2 linked regions of the Oryctolagus cuniculus genome follow. The protein of the gene in region 2 purifies or fractionates together with the protein of the main gene of each other region. This does not show direct contact. Links are inferred from orthologs where the notes say so. Each region holds a gene or a part of one and is shown on either strand. Other genes may lie near its edges.

The links.
Region 1: the proteins of GRB2 (region 2) and SYK purify together in Homo sapiens (affinity purification with western blotting; 3 studies listed by BioGRID, with this or other methods). This does not show direct contact. The link is inferred for Oryctolagus cuniculus from reciprocal best matches to the Homo sapiens genes GRB2 and SYK.

What each region holds. Positions count from the first base shown.
Region 1 is NC_091432.1:139,308,365-139,315,728, forward strand, and holds part of SYK (tyrosine-protein kinase SYK), read left to right. Parts: intron 1-2,931; 5' UTR 2,932-2,979; coding exon 2,980-3,393; intron 3,394-7,197; coding exon 7,198-7,358; intron 7,359-7,364. UniProt on the Homo sapiens protein: Non-receptor tyrosine kinase which mediates signal transduction downstream of a variety of transmembrane receptors including classical immunoreceptors like the B-cell receptor (BCR).
Region 2 is NC_091448.1:5,228,025-5,234,953, reverse strand, and holds the end of GRB2 (growth factor receptor-bound protein 2), read right to left. Parts: intron 6,867-6,929; coding exon 6,744-6,866; intron 2,930-6,743; coding exon 2,761-2,929; intron 2,261-2,760; coding exon 2,075-2,260; 3' UTR 1,726-2,074; downstream 1-1,725. UniProt on the Homo sapiens protein: Non-enzymatic adapter protein that plays a pivotal role in precisely regulated signaling cascades from cell surface receptors to cellular responses, including signaling transduction and gene expression.

The DNA.
Region 1 (7,364 bases), on a different chromosome or scaffold from region 2:
TGATGGTGGTAGGGGTGCTGCTCAGCCACTGTGGGGCTGTCGTGACCCCACCATGGCCCTGCCCCTCCCCAGGAAACCAAGGCGGTCACCTGCTTGGGATGGAGTTGGAGTGGACCATGGAGACTGATGGTCCCCAGGGCTTGGGAGAGTAGATGGGTGCAGGACAGGTGTGTGGGGAGGTGGGATGTAGGCCATGTATGTGATATGTGTGTGTATGTGTGACATGTGAGATGAGTGTGGCATGAGTATGTTGTCTGTGTGTGTGGTATATATATGTAATGTGTATTGTACATGGTATGTGTATGTGGTGTGTAGTGTGTATCATATGTGTCATGTGTATATATGGTGTGTGTGTGTGTGAGTAATTTAGATCTATATGTGGTGTGTGTATATGTAAGTGGTACCTGTGTGTGTGCTATGCGTGTGTAGTTTAGGTCTGTATGTGGTATGTGTATGTATATAGTATCTCTGTGTGTGTAGTTTGGATCTATATGTAGTGTGTGTATACGTATGTGGTATCTGGGTGTGTGTGTGTGTGTGTAGTTTGGATCTGTGTGTGGTGTGTGTATGTGTGTGTGTAGTTTGGATCTGTGTGTGGTATGTGTATGTGTGTGTGTAGTTTGGATCTGTGTGTGGTGTGTGTATGTTTGTGTGTGTGTGTAGTTTGGATCTGTATTTGGTGTGTGTATGTGGTATCTGTGTTTGTGTGTAGCTTGGATCTCTGTGTGGTGTGTATATGTGTATGTAGTATCTGTGTGTGTGTGTGTGTAGTTTGGATCTGTGTGTGGTGTGTGTAAGCGTATGTAGTATCTATGTGTGTATGTAGTTTGAATGTGTGTGTATGTGGTATGTGTGTGTGTGTGGTATAGTCACTGGGCAGAATAACACACAGGGTCATGCTCTCTTGGCCCCAGATGAACTACGCGTTGTATGAGTAACTGCGCCACGACCAGCCCCTTTGGGTTGCAATGCGTCCCTCCTGGGATCCTTGCTGGCCGGGCAGTGCGTATCCTCCCTGTTTGCAGACTTTCTCCGGGTGTTTGTCTTCTGCAGCGTGGGTTTATGCAAGGCACGCAGCTCTGGCCTCAGACTGTCTCTGGCCATGCAGATGGGAAGCGGGGTGCCCAGCGTGAGGTCTGGAGAAGTGGGGGGGGGCAGCGTGGCGCCCCAGGCTGAGGGATGGGGACATGTGGGAAGGACACAACGTTCTGTGTCTCAGGCCTTGAGGTGACCGCAGGTGACGGTTCTGCACGGCCTGTGACCGTGGCCCTCACTTCAGCTCTCACGGCTTCTACCACCGTGTGTGGCTACACAAAGCAGCAGCCTCTCCTGGTTCAGGCGGAAACTGTTTAGTGATGCCTCTGCTGTGAATTAGCCGTGATGCGGAGCAGGTCCTCTGCACCCACAGAGGAGCGGTGGCTGTCAGCTCACGCTGGCGTCTGCCTCCAGCGTGGACCCTCAGGATGAGCTCTGAGTCATGTGTGGCAACATTGCTTTTGCTTATTCCCTACTTTTTATTCTTAGGCTTCTTTATCCCAACCAAAAAAAAAAAATCGATCAATTTGGTCACTTTGGTCAGATGCTCTGTGTCCGGGTTAACAATTCAGAGGGTGAGAAGCAGGTGTGGCACAACAGGTGAAGCCGCACTTGGAATGCCCGCATCCCATGTCAGAGTGCCTGGGATGGAGCCACGCTCCCACTTCCAATCCAGCTTCCCGCCAACGTGCCTGGGAGGCAGCAATACTTGGATTCCTGACACCCATGTGGGAGACCCAGATGGAGTTCCTGGCTTCCGGCATCAGCCTGGCCCAGCCCTGGCCGATGTAGACATTTGGGGAATGAACCAGCCGATGGAACATCTCTGTCTTTCCCTCTCTTTCTATCACTCTTCCTTTCAAATAAAAAAATAATCTGTGAAATAGGATTCAGAGAGTGTGCAGGGAAACTGTGATAATTGTACAGGACAAAGTAATCCTGACCCAAATAGAAATGGACAAAAGGCCAACGTGCCACTGGACAAGGTTTACTGGGGGTTTAAGCACAAGGGAGACAGCTTCGATGAGGGGGGCTGGGCAGGGGTTTTTACAGGATGGGGGCCTCCTCTCAGCACATGACACTTGGACTTGTACCCAGCTCAGTATTGTGTGCATGCACAGTTCCTTTTTTTTTTTTCTTTTTGCACACAATGGGCTCAAAATTGTGGCATTGGTCATTACCAGCACCACCCCAGAAAGGTCATGTACCTATCACATTGGACTGTTCTGGGCACGTGCAGGTTGGGGGAATCCTTAATAGGGCAGGTAGAGTCTGGTTGCTGTCTCTCCTGATTGGGTTGGAGCTGCAGCTGGACACCCATCAGGTGGGAGGACCCTGACTTAGTAAATTCTGCTTTTATCCAGTCTCAAAGGGACCCCAGCGTGGTGGGCAGCCCAGCGAGGGGAGTGCTTCCATTCTGAGCTGGACTGGCAGGTCTCCGGTTTGAAAGGATCCAGGGGGTTTTAGCAAATGCCCCTTGCTGCTTGGGCTCCTCACATTGAGTGATCTGAGAATCTGTCCCCCCACACTCACGTGGAAGTCTAATCCACAAGGTCTTGTGTTCATGGTGCTAGGGGGCTGGGGACTTGATCCAAGTGTGCTGCTCCCCGGTGGAACCTTTGGGCAGTGATTAGATTGGATTAAATCATGGCGTGGAGCCCTCAGGATCAGATCCTAGTGGCTTTATAAGGAAAGAGGAGATATAAACAGACATGTATGCTCCCACCACGATATGTTATATTCCAAAAGTCCTTTGCCAGAGCCTTGCTATGTTATTTGGAGCCAGCACATCTAGAAGCATGAGCCAAAGTAAACCTCTTTATAAAGTATCCTTTCTTGGGCATTTCATTACAGTAACAGAAGCTGACCGACACTCCCATCTTTGTCTTGCCCCAGGTGGACCCCTGCATGTGCCCTTGCATCTCCTAAGGGGCCAGCACAGCCATGGCCAGCAACACGGTGGACAGTGCCAACCACCTGCCCTTCTTCTTCGGCAACATCACCCGGGAAGAGGCCGAGGATTACCTGGTCCAGGGAGGCATGACTGATGGGCTCTACCTGCTGCGCCAGAGTCGCAATTACCTGGGCGGCTTTGCCCTGTCGGTGGCCCACGGGAGGAAGGCGCACCACTACACCATCGAGAGGGAGCTCAATGGGACCTATGCCATCGCTGGTGGCAGGACACACAGCAGCCCCGCCGAGCTCTGTCACTACCACTCTCAGGAGTCCGACGGCCTCATCTGCCTCCTCAAGACGCCCTTCAACCGGCCCCCTGGGGTGCAGCCCAAGACCGGGCCCTTTGAGGACTTGAAGGAGAGCCTCATCAGGGAGTACGTGAAGCAGACGTGGAACCTGCAGGTGAGGTGTGGCCAGCCCTGAGTTCATAGGTCCCTATAAACCCACACGTGCAGAACCATGGTGCATGTAAACCATACCACAGCGCCCAAATCCGTGCATAGTTTTTTCGTAATATGCATTTCCCATGAACTTTGAAGATCCCATGTGTGCATGGATTTCAAAGTATTTTGCACAAAATTTTTTTTTTTTTAATTCTATCTTCTGCAAACCTATTGAAGAAATCTCCCGGCAACCATTTCCGTAGTCATCAACCCTGGCTCCAAATGCTCCAAGAAGACTGCCCTTCCTCTGTACAAACACAGCCCAGAGAGTGGGCCCCTGCCCTCCAGCCACGTGGGTGTCTCCACTGCAGGAAGCCATTCCCCTGCCACCCAGTTCATGGCGGGCCCTTTGGGAGAGGCATGGCTGGGCATCTATTGTTATTTATTCTCCTAACAAGGTCATGGTGTGCCCGCTGTTTGGAACCAGATTTTTTTTTTTTGACAGGCAGAGTGGACAGTGAGAGAGAGAGAGAGACAGAGAGAAAGGTCTTCCTCTGCCGTTGGTTCACCCTCCAATGGCCGCCACTGCTGGCGCGCTGCGGCCGGCGCACCGCGCTGATCCGATGGCAGGAGCCAGGTGCTTATCCTGGTCTCCCATGGGGTGCAGGGCCCAAGCACTTGGGCCATCCTCCACTGCACTCCCTGGCCACAGCAGAGAGCTGGCCTGGAAGAGGGGCAACCGGGACGGAATCCGGTGCCCTGGCCAGGACTAGAACCTGGTGTGCTGGCGCCGCAAGGTGGAGAATTAGCCTAGTGAGCCGCGGCACCGGCTTGGAACCAGATTTAATAGCTTCCTAAATCTCTTGCAGACATTTCTATGTATCAGTTACCCTGTCTTTGGTTGCCTGGCATTGCCTGTTGTGTACCAAATTTATTTAGCTAGTCCTTGTTGATGGACATTTTTATGGTTTGAAAAATAATTCTCCTAACAACAGTATTCTGTCCCCATCTTAAACTAAGCTTATGTGCAATGCCTGCCAGATAAACTCTAAAAAGGCTAGGTTTGTCACAGCCCAGGGTATGAGTGTGTGTGTGTGTGTGTGTGTGTGTGTTTAATGTGGATACATTGACGAGTTCCATCTACAAAGGTGACAGAGGTTGTAACCATTTGCGCTCCTGCCACATTCATTCTTGATAGTATTTGGTGTCAAGAGCCAACAGTTTAGATTGATAGTCTCTTCTTGGACATAAGTGCTCAACCACTTCTCCTTGTGCTCCCGGGAGGTCTGTCTTGTGCTTTGCTATGTATTTGATGCATGCTGATTTATGGCCATATGGATCCTCTGAGGACGCCATAGAGACTCCGTTTATTCATTCAGTATGGCCTGTGTTAAATTCAGCCTCGCAGAGGGATTTTGCAATAATGTACTCAGTATTTTTCATTCGTATTCATTGGGTATGTCTTAGGCCATGCATTTATTCTTTATTAAGTCAGGTAAGTCATATTTCTTGGGTGGAGTTTACACACAGTGAATTGATCCGTTTTGAGTGTGCAGTCCTATGATCTTTGACATATGCCTGGTATCACATAATCCCTACATCGTCAAGGCAGGCATTAGCTCCCTCACCTTCATCTGTCCCAGCTCCTGGAAACCGCTCATTTGATTCCTGTCCCCACCGTTTCGCCTTTTCTAGAATGTCACGTAAGGGGAATTCCACAGCATGTAGCCTTCGCAGAGTGGCTTCCTCCACAAAACGCGATGCGCCTGCTATTCAGCCGTGGCATTGCCGGTGCCCAGGGCTATGTCTGGCCTGTGATCTACAGCCATGTGCTTTTTCCTCCGTTCACCTTGTTCCGCGTGCCCCGTGGTGTATGACTGTCGCCGTCCTTGTCTCCCTCCCTGCCTTCTGCCTCCCTTCTTCCAGCTCCTGCTGTGGGATGGCAACAGTTATGTTGTTAGTGCTTCTCTTCTCCAATGCGAGGAATCGAACTTTGGCTCTTCAGTGACTAATGAGATGATCTATGTCTCTCCCACCGAAAAAGACAGAGAAACCAAATGGCGTGGCTGCCAGCCCCTTCCCCCATGTTGGATTTCCCCATCGTTAAGTCCGCATGGTCAAGGCTTTCTGCCATCATGCGTGTGATCCCATTTCTTGCAGGTGCAGGTGCAGGCTGGGGTGGGGGAATGAGTACTCGGGGAAGCCACACGCGCTTTCCTTGCAACTGCCTGGAGGTTGCGACACAGGACAGCCAGGCCATCTAGGCTGCAGGCAGGAGGCCGCGCCCTAGACCTTGTGGGTTATACCAGGTGCCATGCAATAGCTTTTGACAGGCCAGTCTCCTTATTCTACAATCTGGTTTTTTTTTTTTTTTTTTTTTTTTTTTTTTTTTACTATACTCTTGAGGATACTTAAGTAATATACAGGGAGTCTTCAAAGTTCTTGGAAAATGCATATTATGAAAAATCTATTCATGGTTTTCCAGGTTTTTTTTTTTTTTTGCACCAGAAAATGGTATCTTAATTCCATTTCCATGAGGATCCTCAGATAAAAGTCTTACTGTTTGTATTTAATTTTTTTTTTGACAGGCAGAGTGGACAGTGAGAGAGAGAGAGACAGAGAGAAAGGTCTTCCTTTGCCGTTGGTTCACCCTCCAATGGCCGCCGCGGCTGGTGCGCTGCGGCTGGTGCGCTGTGGCCGGCGCACCGTGCTGATCCGATGGCAGGAGCCAGGTGCTTCTCCTGGTCTCCCATGGGGTGCAGGGTCCAAGTACTTGGGCCATCCTCCACTGCACTCCCTGGCCACAGCAGAGAGCTGGCCTGGAAGAGGGGCAACCGGGACAGAATCCGGCACCCCGACCGGGACTAGAACCCGGTGTGCCGGCGCCTCAAGGTAGAGGATTAGCCTAGTGAGCCGCAGCGCCGGCCTGTTTGTATTTAATAAATGAGTAGACGATGAGTGAGTGAATGAACCAAGTCTGATCCCATTGTAGCATGGAAGGGTGTTAGGACCCAGGACAGACCGAAAATGACTTCTGTGCATGTCATTTTTTTCTTTTTTTAGCTGAGAACTCTTTTTTTTTTTAAGATTTTGTTTATTGAATAAATAAAGATAGAGTTAAAGACAGGGGGAAGGAGAAACAGAGAGAAAGGTCTCCCATCCACTGGTTTGAAAAGGCCAGAGTTGCGCGGATCCAAAGCCAGGAGCCAGGAGCTTCTTCCTGGTCTCCCACACAAGTGCAGGGGCCCAAGTTCCATCTTCCACTGCTTTCCCAGGCCATAGCAGAGAGCTGGATTGGAAGTGGAGCAGTGGAGCCGGGTCTCGAACTGGCGCTCATAAAGGAATTTGGCACCCCAGGCAGAAGCTTTACCCGCTATGTCACAGCAACGGCCCTATGTTTTTGTTATTTTTCCAGGGTTGTGGGTTCTCAATTTGTATCCATTTCTTTTTGTTTGTTTGTTTTTCTTGAAAGGCAGAGTTAGAAAGAGAGAGAGACAGAGACAGAGAGAGAGAGAGAGATCTGCCGGTTCACTCCCCAAAATGTCCACAATGGCCGGGGCTGGGTGAGGTCTAAGCCAGGAGCCTGGAATTCCATCCTGGTCTCCCACGTGAGTGCAGGGGCCCAACAATTTGGCCCATTTTCCACTGCTTTTCCCAAGTGCATTACAGGGAGCAGGATCGGAAACGGAGCAGCTGGGGCTCAAACTGGCGCCCATAAGGGATGCCGGCGGCGCTGGCGAGGCTTAGCCCACTGCACCCCAGCACCAGCCCGGTACCTGTCTCCATCTGTGCCTGGCTTGCTCACTGTCTTCCCTCGCTGCAGGGCCAGGCTCTGGAGCAAGCCATCATCAGTCAGAAGCCGCAGCTGGAGAAGCTGATCGCCACCACCGCCCACGAAAAGATGCCCTGGTTCCACGGGAAAATCTCTCGGGATGAATCTGAGCAAACCGTCCTGATCGGATCGAAGACGAACGGAAAATTTCTGTAAGT
Region 2 (6,929 bases):
TGGGCCAATCCGAAGCCAGGAGCCAGGAGCTTTTTCTGGGTCTGCTACACGGGTGCAGGGGCCCAAGCACTTGGGCCATCTTCCACTGCTTCCTGGGCCATCAGCAGGGAGCTGGATAGAACTGGAGCAGCCCAGTTGGGATGCCGGCGTGGCAGGTGGAGGCTCAACCCACCACGCCACAGTGACAGGGCTGGCATCACTCCCGAGAGGCCCCGACTGCCTGACCTTACACCTTACGCAGTTTCCAAATTTTTACATAAAATGAAGCAAGGGGGAGCAAAAAGAAGCAGAATGAAGAATTCATTGTACGTTTATTATTCACAGTTAATCACTACCTACCAAGTGCCACCCGCAGAGTTACAGGATTACGTACATAGGTCTTTTTAGTTAAACACGGATTTGTTTTTAAATATATACACACAAAACTTAGTTCAGCAAGGCTTCATGATATACACCAACTCCAAAATAAAACAATCAGACGGTCCAGGTGTGGACGCCAGGTGTTCCTTTGATCAGCAACGCGGGAGGGAGGGCGGGAGCAGTCGGACGGGAGCCAGGAGAGGCGTGAACATGCTCTGTCCACAGGAGCAGCGGCCTCCAGGCCTCCGGGACCCGCAGGCTGAGTCTGTTTCCACACCACAGTCTGGGGAGATGCCACTGAAGGGTCACAGAGGCCCAAGGCCACCAGCACTCCCAGGGAGGGAAAGCAGCAGCCTCGTCCGTGTCCTGGGGAGGAAAAGCCCACGAGCCCAAACGACAAGGGACGGAGAGCTGACACGGAGAGCTTAGAGGGGCTCCAGCCTCTGTCTTCCCAGCGCCCCCCCCCCCCCCCCCCGGGTGGGGATGGTGCTGGGGGCCGGCCTGCTGCGAACGGGACAAGGAACAGTGTGTCCCAGCTTTTGCACACTGCCCTGCTGCTCACCTGGACAGGTGAGGGGACACAAAAGGTGAGAGCCATGACCTAATGTCAGGAGCAAGAAAAACACAAATACTCTCCTTCTGCAACCTAACGCAGGCCCACAGTCCCACCTGCCGCAGCTCAAGAACAGCAGCCTAACAGCACTTCCTCCACTGGCTCTCCTGTGTCTGAGACTTGCTGGCTCCAGGGGTCTGAGCGGGGGTCTCTGGGGTCGGCAGGGTAGACAATACCCGGACCACAAGGCAAGGACTCAGATCCAGCCAGACGCCGTAGAGCTGCAGCCGGCCCTTCCCCGGCACACCAGGGCCGGCGGCTCCCTCAGACCCTGGCCTTCTGGCTTGGTACGGGTAGAACGCCCCCCTCCCCGCCTTCCGCTGTCTCCTCCCTCTACCCTGCTTTCCCCTCCCCTGAGGGAAAAGGATTTACAGAGAGTGGGAGACGAACCGGCTGGAAGGCCAATTTGGACTGTCTTTAATTTATCTGAAAACAAAACAAGTAAGACACATCCCTCCTAAGCAACCCGGGACATGGGGAAAGGCACCATGGGAAACAGCAATGCTCAGGGACGCCGCTCCCACGTGGAGCCAGCGACGGAGGCTTTCAGTCCGACTTTCTCAGGAAGCCGAGGGGCAGGTGACACGCCTCCCTCCCACCCCCGACAGAACAGCCCCAGGCTGGGCCCGCGGACGCCACCCTGACCCGGCAGAAGCTGCCCGCCTGCTCCTTTCTGTGTGCACGCACGGAGAACACAGCAGTAGTTGTTCCAACTAAACAGACATTTTGCATAGAGAAGATACCAGCGCACGTGGTTTCTTTTCTTTTATTATTGGCATCAGCTAGGACTATACGTGGCCTTACACGTCATGCACTGAAGAACGGGAGAAAAAGGACGAGAAAAAGGACAAAGGCGGGGCAAAGGAGCAGCGGTGAAAATCTGTAATAAAAACTCTTTTCTTAATAGGTAAGTTTTGGCATTTTTATATCCAATGCCCCCTCCCACCCCCCGAAGTTCCAACCCAGGTCAGAGAGTCACGGGCGTGAGGTGACCCAGCCAGGTGTCCGGGCTCCTGCAAGGCTGCTGGGAGAGGCAGCCCGGGGCTGTCATTCTTTCGTGTTTTCAACTTTTCACGGCTTTAAATAACCTCCCCTTGATTCTTAGACATTCCGGTTCACGGGGGTGACGTAATTGCGGGGGAACATGCCGGTCTGCCCGTGGCAAGCCCCCTTCCACCAGTTGGGGTCAGAGTTATCCATGACATGGATGAAATCTCCCCGGCGGAACCCCAGCTCTCCGTCCTCCTGGGGGTCAAAGTCAAAGAGGGCCTGGACGTACGTCGGCTGCTGCAAAAGAGGAGCAGGGAAAACACGCGTGTGACACCCCGAGCCTGGAGTCCTTCCTGCGCTGGGCACCCACGCTCGGGGGCTGCACTCCCCAGGGCGTGTCAGCAGCATAGTCAGCACCCCTGGGAGTCTGGGCTCCTGCACAGCCCAGGATCCAACACCTCTGAGCTCCTGTCGCTGCCAACACCCTCGAGGGTTTGCAGTCAAAACATCTGGATGAGCTTGAAAACATAAGGTGGTGGACTCAGCTGGGCCGCCAGGGACAGGCGCACAGGTGCGAGCACAGGCCCCAACCCTCCCTACAGGACACCCCTCACAGTTTTCTTCCCGGGACAGAATAGCTGACAGACAGGTGGTGAGCGAGCCACACACCTGACTGCAAACCGCAGGCCTCTGTGTGAGCTAAGGGTGATGTCCTGAGCACGGGGGCTGGAAGTGACCCTCTGAAAGGCACCTGCTCCTAACCGCTGGAGGTGAGCCCGACTCTGCCCCAGCCTTACCTGCGGCACCTGCTCTATGTCCCGCAGGAATATCTGCTGGTTTCTGGAGACAGACGTCGACCTGTGGTAATCCACCAGCTCATTCAAGGAGTTGAACTTCACCACCCAGAGGAAATACTTCCCCGCTCCGTCTCGGAGCACCTTGAAGTGCTGCACGTCATTTCCAAACCTGGGGGTGGGGCAGAGAACACAGCACGTGGGTCAAAGGGCTCTGGCCTGGCCCATGAGGCCCTCTGCCAAACAGGAGGGGTCCAGAGAAAGCCACTGTCTGGCAACGCTCCTCACAGCCTGCGGGCCGGTTGGCTACACGCCACTGAGCCTGGCTGGAGAGGGTGGGACGGCCGCTGAGCGTGCCGAGACCCTCACCGTGACTGACGGTCACCCGCAACAACACAAAGAGCCCTCACGGGACAGGCCAGGCCCCACTCGGTCTAATTCTACAGGCATTTATGGGATGGAGAATGAGGCCGGCGCTGCAGCACACTGCGCAGAGGCGCTGCCCGTGGCACCAGCATCCCATGCGGGTGTCAGTTCAAGCCCCAGATGCTCCATTTCTGACCCAGCTCCCTGCTAATGCAACTGGGAAAGCAGCAGAAGATGGTCCGATATCTGGGGCCCCTGCCGCCGTGTGGGAGACCTGGAAGAGGATCCTGGCTTCAGACCCGCCTAGTCCTCGTCATTGCGGCCATGTGGGGAGGTAACCAGAGCATGGAAGACCCCCCCCACCCGCCGCCGCCCCTACCGCTCTCTGTCTTTATCTCCTCTGTCTCTGCAACTCTGCCCTTCATGTAAATTACCTTTAAAAAAAAAAGGAATGTCCCAACCCATGCTGTGCCCTGCACTGTACCAACTACATCAGCCTCACTTAAGACAAGGAATATACCTTAATTAACTACGCTTCAAGCAAAAATAATTAAAATCTCAAAGGTGGGATAGAAAATAAGGTGAGGAAGCAGATACGCTCAACAAAGCTCCAGGTACCAGAAATACTCCAGTCATTTCCCACTTGGGGATTTGAGTTCTACTCACGGGATAAAGGCCGTGGGGGGAAAAAGGATGTACTGGGACAGCAAAAGAGGCCCAGGCACCAAAGTCCCCACACCCTCCATCGCCAGAAAATCCACTCCCCTTAATGCTGGCCAGCAACACAGAGCTGCCAGTGACACCTGCTGTCCCGTTCCCTGCTGAATCCTCCAAGGACTCAGTGAGCACGTGTTCCTCAAAGCCCTCCTTTGGGTCGGTATTGCGCCATAACAGGTAAAGCCCTCGCCTGCAATGCTGGCATTCCATACGAGCGACGGTCAAGTCTGGATGCTAATGGCGTAGGAAAAGCAGCAGACGAAGGCCCCAGTGCTTGGGTCCCTGCCACCCACGTGGCAGACTGGGAGGAAGCTCCCGGTTTCAGCCTGGCTTAGTGCTGGCCATTGCAGCCGATTTCTCTTTTTCTCTGCAACTCTTTCAAATAAGTAAATAGATAATTTTAACGTCAAAGGCCCTCCTTCAGTATTAAAGCCTAAAGAAGCCAACACTTTCCAAAAACAGCCAGCAGGTGGCAGGACTGGGCTTCAAGGAAGCCGGAGTGCAGGATACCAAGTGGGGTTGGGGGAAGACAATCCAGTGGCCCTGGCATTCCCTCCCCCACTATCCATAGTGTGGTTTGTGTGTGTGTGTGTGTGTGCTGCGGGGGGTTCTAAGACCCCCAGTGGATGCGTGAGACGGTGGATAGTACCAAACTGCATATATACTGCTTTCTCTTGCAAACACCACACACACACACACACACACACTTCTATGATAAAGTTAAATTAGTAAGTTAGGTATAGTAAACTAACAATACACAAGACAATTGTAACAACCAACAACCACAAAAAAATAAAAGTCATTTAAAATCTGAACTGTTTGTTCCTGGAATGTCCCGATCAGTATTTTTAGACCACAGTCACTTGTGGACCGTGAAGCCGCGGATGGGGGTGGCTGCTGTACTGCTTTCTCACACACCCACACACAACACACAACACACACACACACGGGGGAGAGAGGAGGGGGAGGGGTGTGTGTGGGGGGGTGCAGTGCTAGTGAGAGGGCTTCTGGAAGAAGGGCCTGTCCTGCACCTCTGGCCCTGGGGACTCGCTGGCGGTGGACGCGGTCAGTTTCTTAGGTGCGTAAGGTCCCGGGTGAGCACTCTGCCAACTACAAGGGCTCGAATCACTGACTCAAAACATCTTAAAAACCAGAGAAACACTGCTGAGGCTGTTGATTCTTGAGCCTCCTTGGTGACACATTTTCTGTTGTCACAGGCAGTCTCACACTTTATTTCTCAGACAATGAATAGAGAATTTGATAAAAGGGAGTGCTGCGGGTTTTGGTGTCTGTGGCAGGAGTGTCCCACACTGAGTGCCCGGAGGTGCTGGCCACCAGCCAATGACCAACTGCTTGTATTCCTAGTCGCACGTTTACTTTATACTCAGTCAGCATAAAACACAAGGGACCGAGATGCACACAGATGATGACCCCACCGCCCTCCCCTCCCCGGGCCACGCTCTGCAGCAGAACTTCACTTGCGATGTTCAATCAAGCCCTTCAAGGAGTCCTTACTGGACAGGCCTTTGGTTAAGAAGCCTGCACAAACATCAGTGTCTGAGCCCCAGCTCTGCTCCGACTCCAGCCTCCTGCTCACGCAGATCCTGGGAGGCAGCGGAGGCGGCTCACTCACAGGAGCCCCTGTCACCCACGTGAGACCTGGATGGAGTCTGGGATCCTGGCTTCAGCTTGGCCCAGCCCCAGCTGTTGCAGGCATTTGGGGAGTGAACCAGAAGGGGGGATCTCTTTTGGTCTCTGTCTTTCAAATAAAATGGAAAACAATCAAACAAACAAATACCCACAATCATGGGTCCTAATTCACATTTTAAAAAAGACACATCTCTATATTTAAATCTGCTGTTAAAAAAAAAATCTATACTTTAACCACACATTAATCTTAAACCAAAATACTAAGTTCTCTTTTAAAGTCTCGTGCTTTATATCATTTGTAAATTATTCTCTTACCCTCATGTTAAAAATAATTTTAGGGGCCAGCGCTGTGGCGAAGCGGGTGAAGTTGCCACCTGCAGTGCCACCATCTCATATGGGCGCCGGGTTGAGGCCCGGCTGCTCCACTTCTGATCCAGCTCTCTGCTGTGGCCTGGGAAAGCAGTACAACATGGCCCAACTCCTTGGGCCTCTGCCCCCATGTGGGAAGACCCAGAGGAAGCTCCTGGCTCCTGGCTTTGGATCAGTGCAGCTCTGGCCATTGCGGCCAATTGATGAGTGAACCAGCGACGGAAGACCCCTCTCTCTCTCCTTCTCTCTGTGTAACTCTTTCAAATAAATAAAATAAATCTTTAAAAATTATAAAAATAACTTTAATGTAATCTATAATAAAACGGCAATCTGAGCTTTAACCTAATTTAACCTAATTACCCATATACATGTGTTTATGTGTATAAACACTAAAGTGATTTGTAAAATTTCCGAGGGAGGGTTTCCTATGATAATTTATTAATCAGAACAGGACTGAAAGCAAAAAAAACAAAAGCAAAGAAAAAAACCCACATGGAAATGAGAACTCAAAATCTTCTCCACTCCTGCTTGCTAGCTCCTTACCACAAATCTACCACCTGGGACGGCTCCCCCCAAATCCTCCCCAGCACCTTGTTAGTTACAGGGAGGTCCAGGACGGGACTGGTCATCTGAGCACTGAGTCCACTGCAGGAACCCCCGGCGGATGCCCATGGAGGGACGCTGCCTGCCTCAGTCCTGGAGACGGCTCCCCCGGGGCTCCATCCAGGGCAGCAAGCCCGGACCATCAGGGTTTCAAAATAAAATGAAAATGCTGTCCAGGCTGGTTGGACCCCCGGCAGTCTGCGTGGCCAGACACCGACGCTGGCTGCACGATTCCCGTCAGCGGCAGCCGGCTTCCCGGCAGCGGGGCAGGAAACACTCACTTGACGGAGAGGGAGAAATCGCCGGGCGCGCTCTCGCTCTCGCGGATGAGAAAGGCCCCGTCATGCCGCTGTTTGCTGAGCATTTCTTCTGCCTTGGCTCTGGGTATTTTGCCAAAAAACCACCTAGAGAAAGAAGGCAAGGGAGTCAACAGTTACTTCCCCTGAAAGGAACGGGGACACCCACCC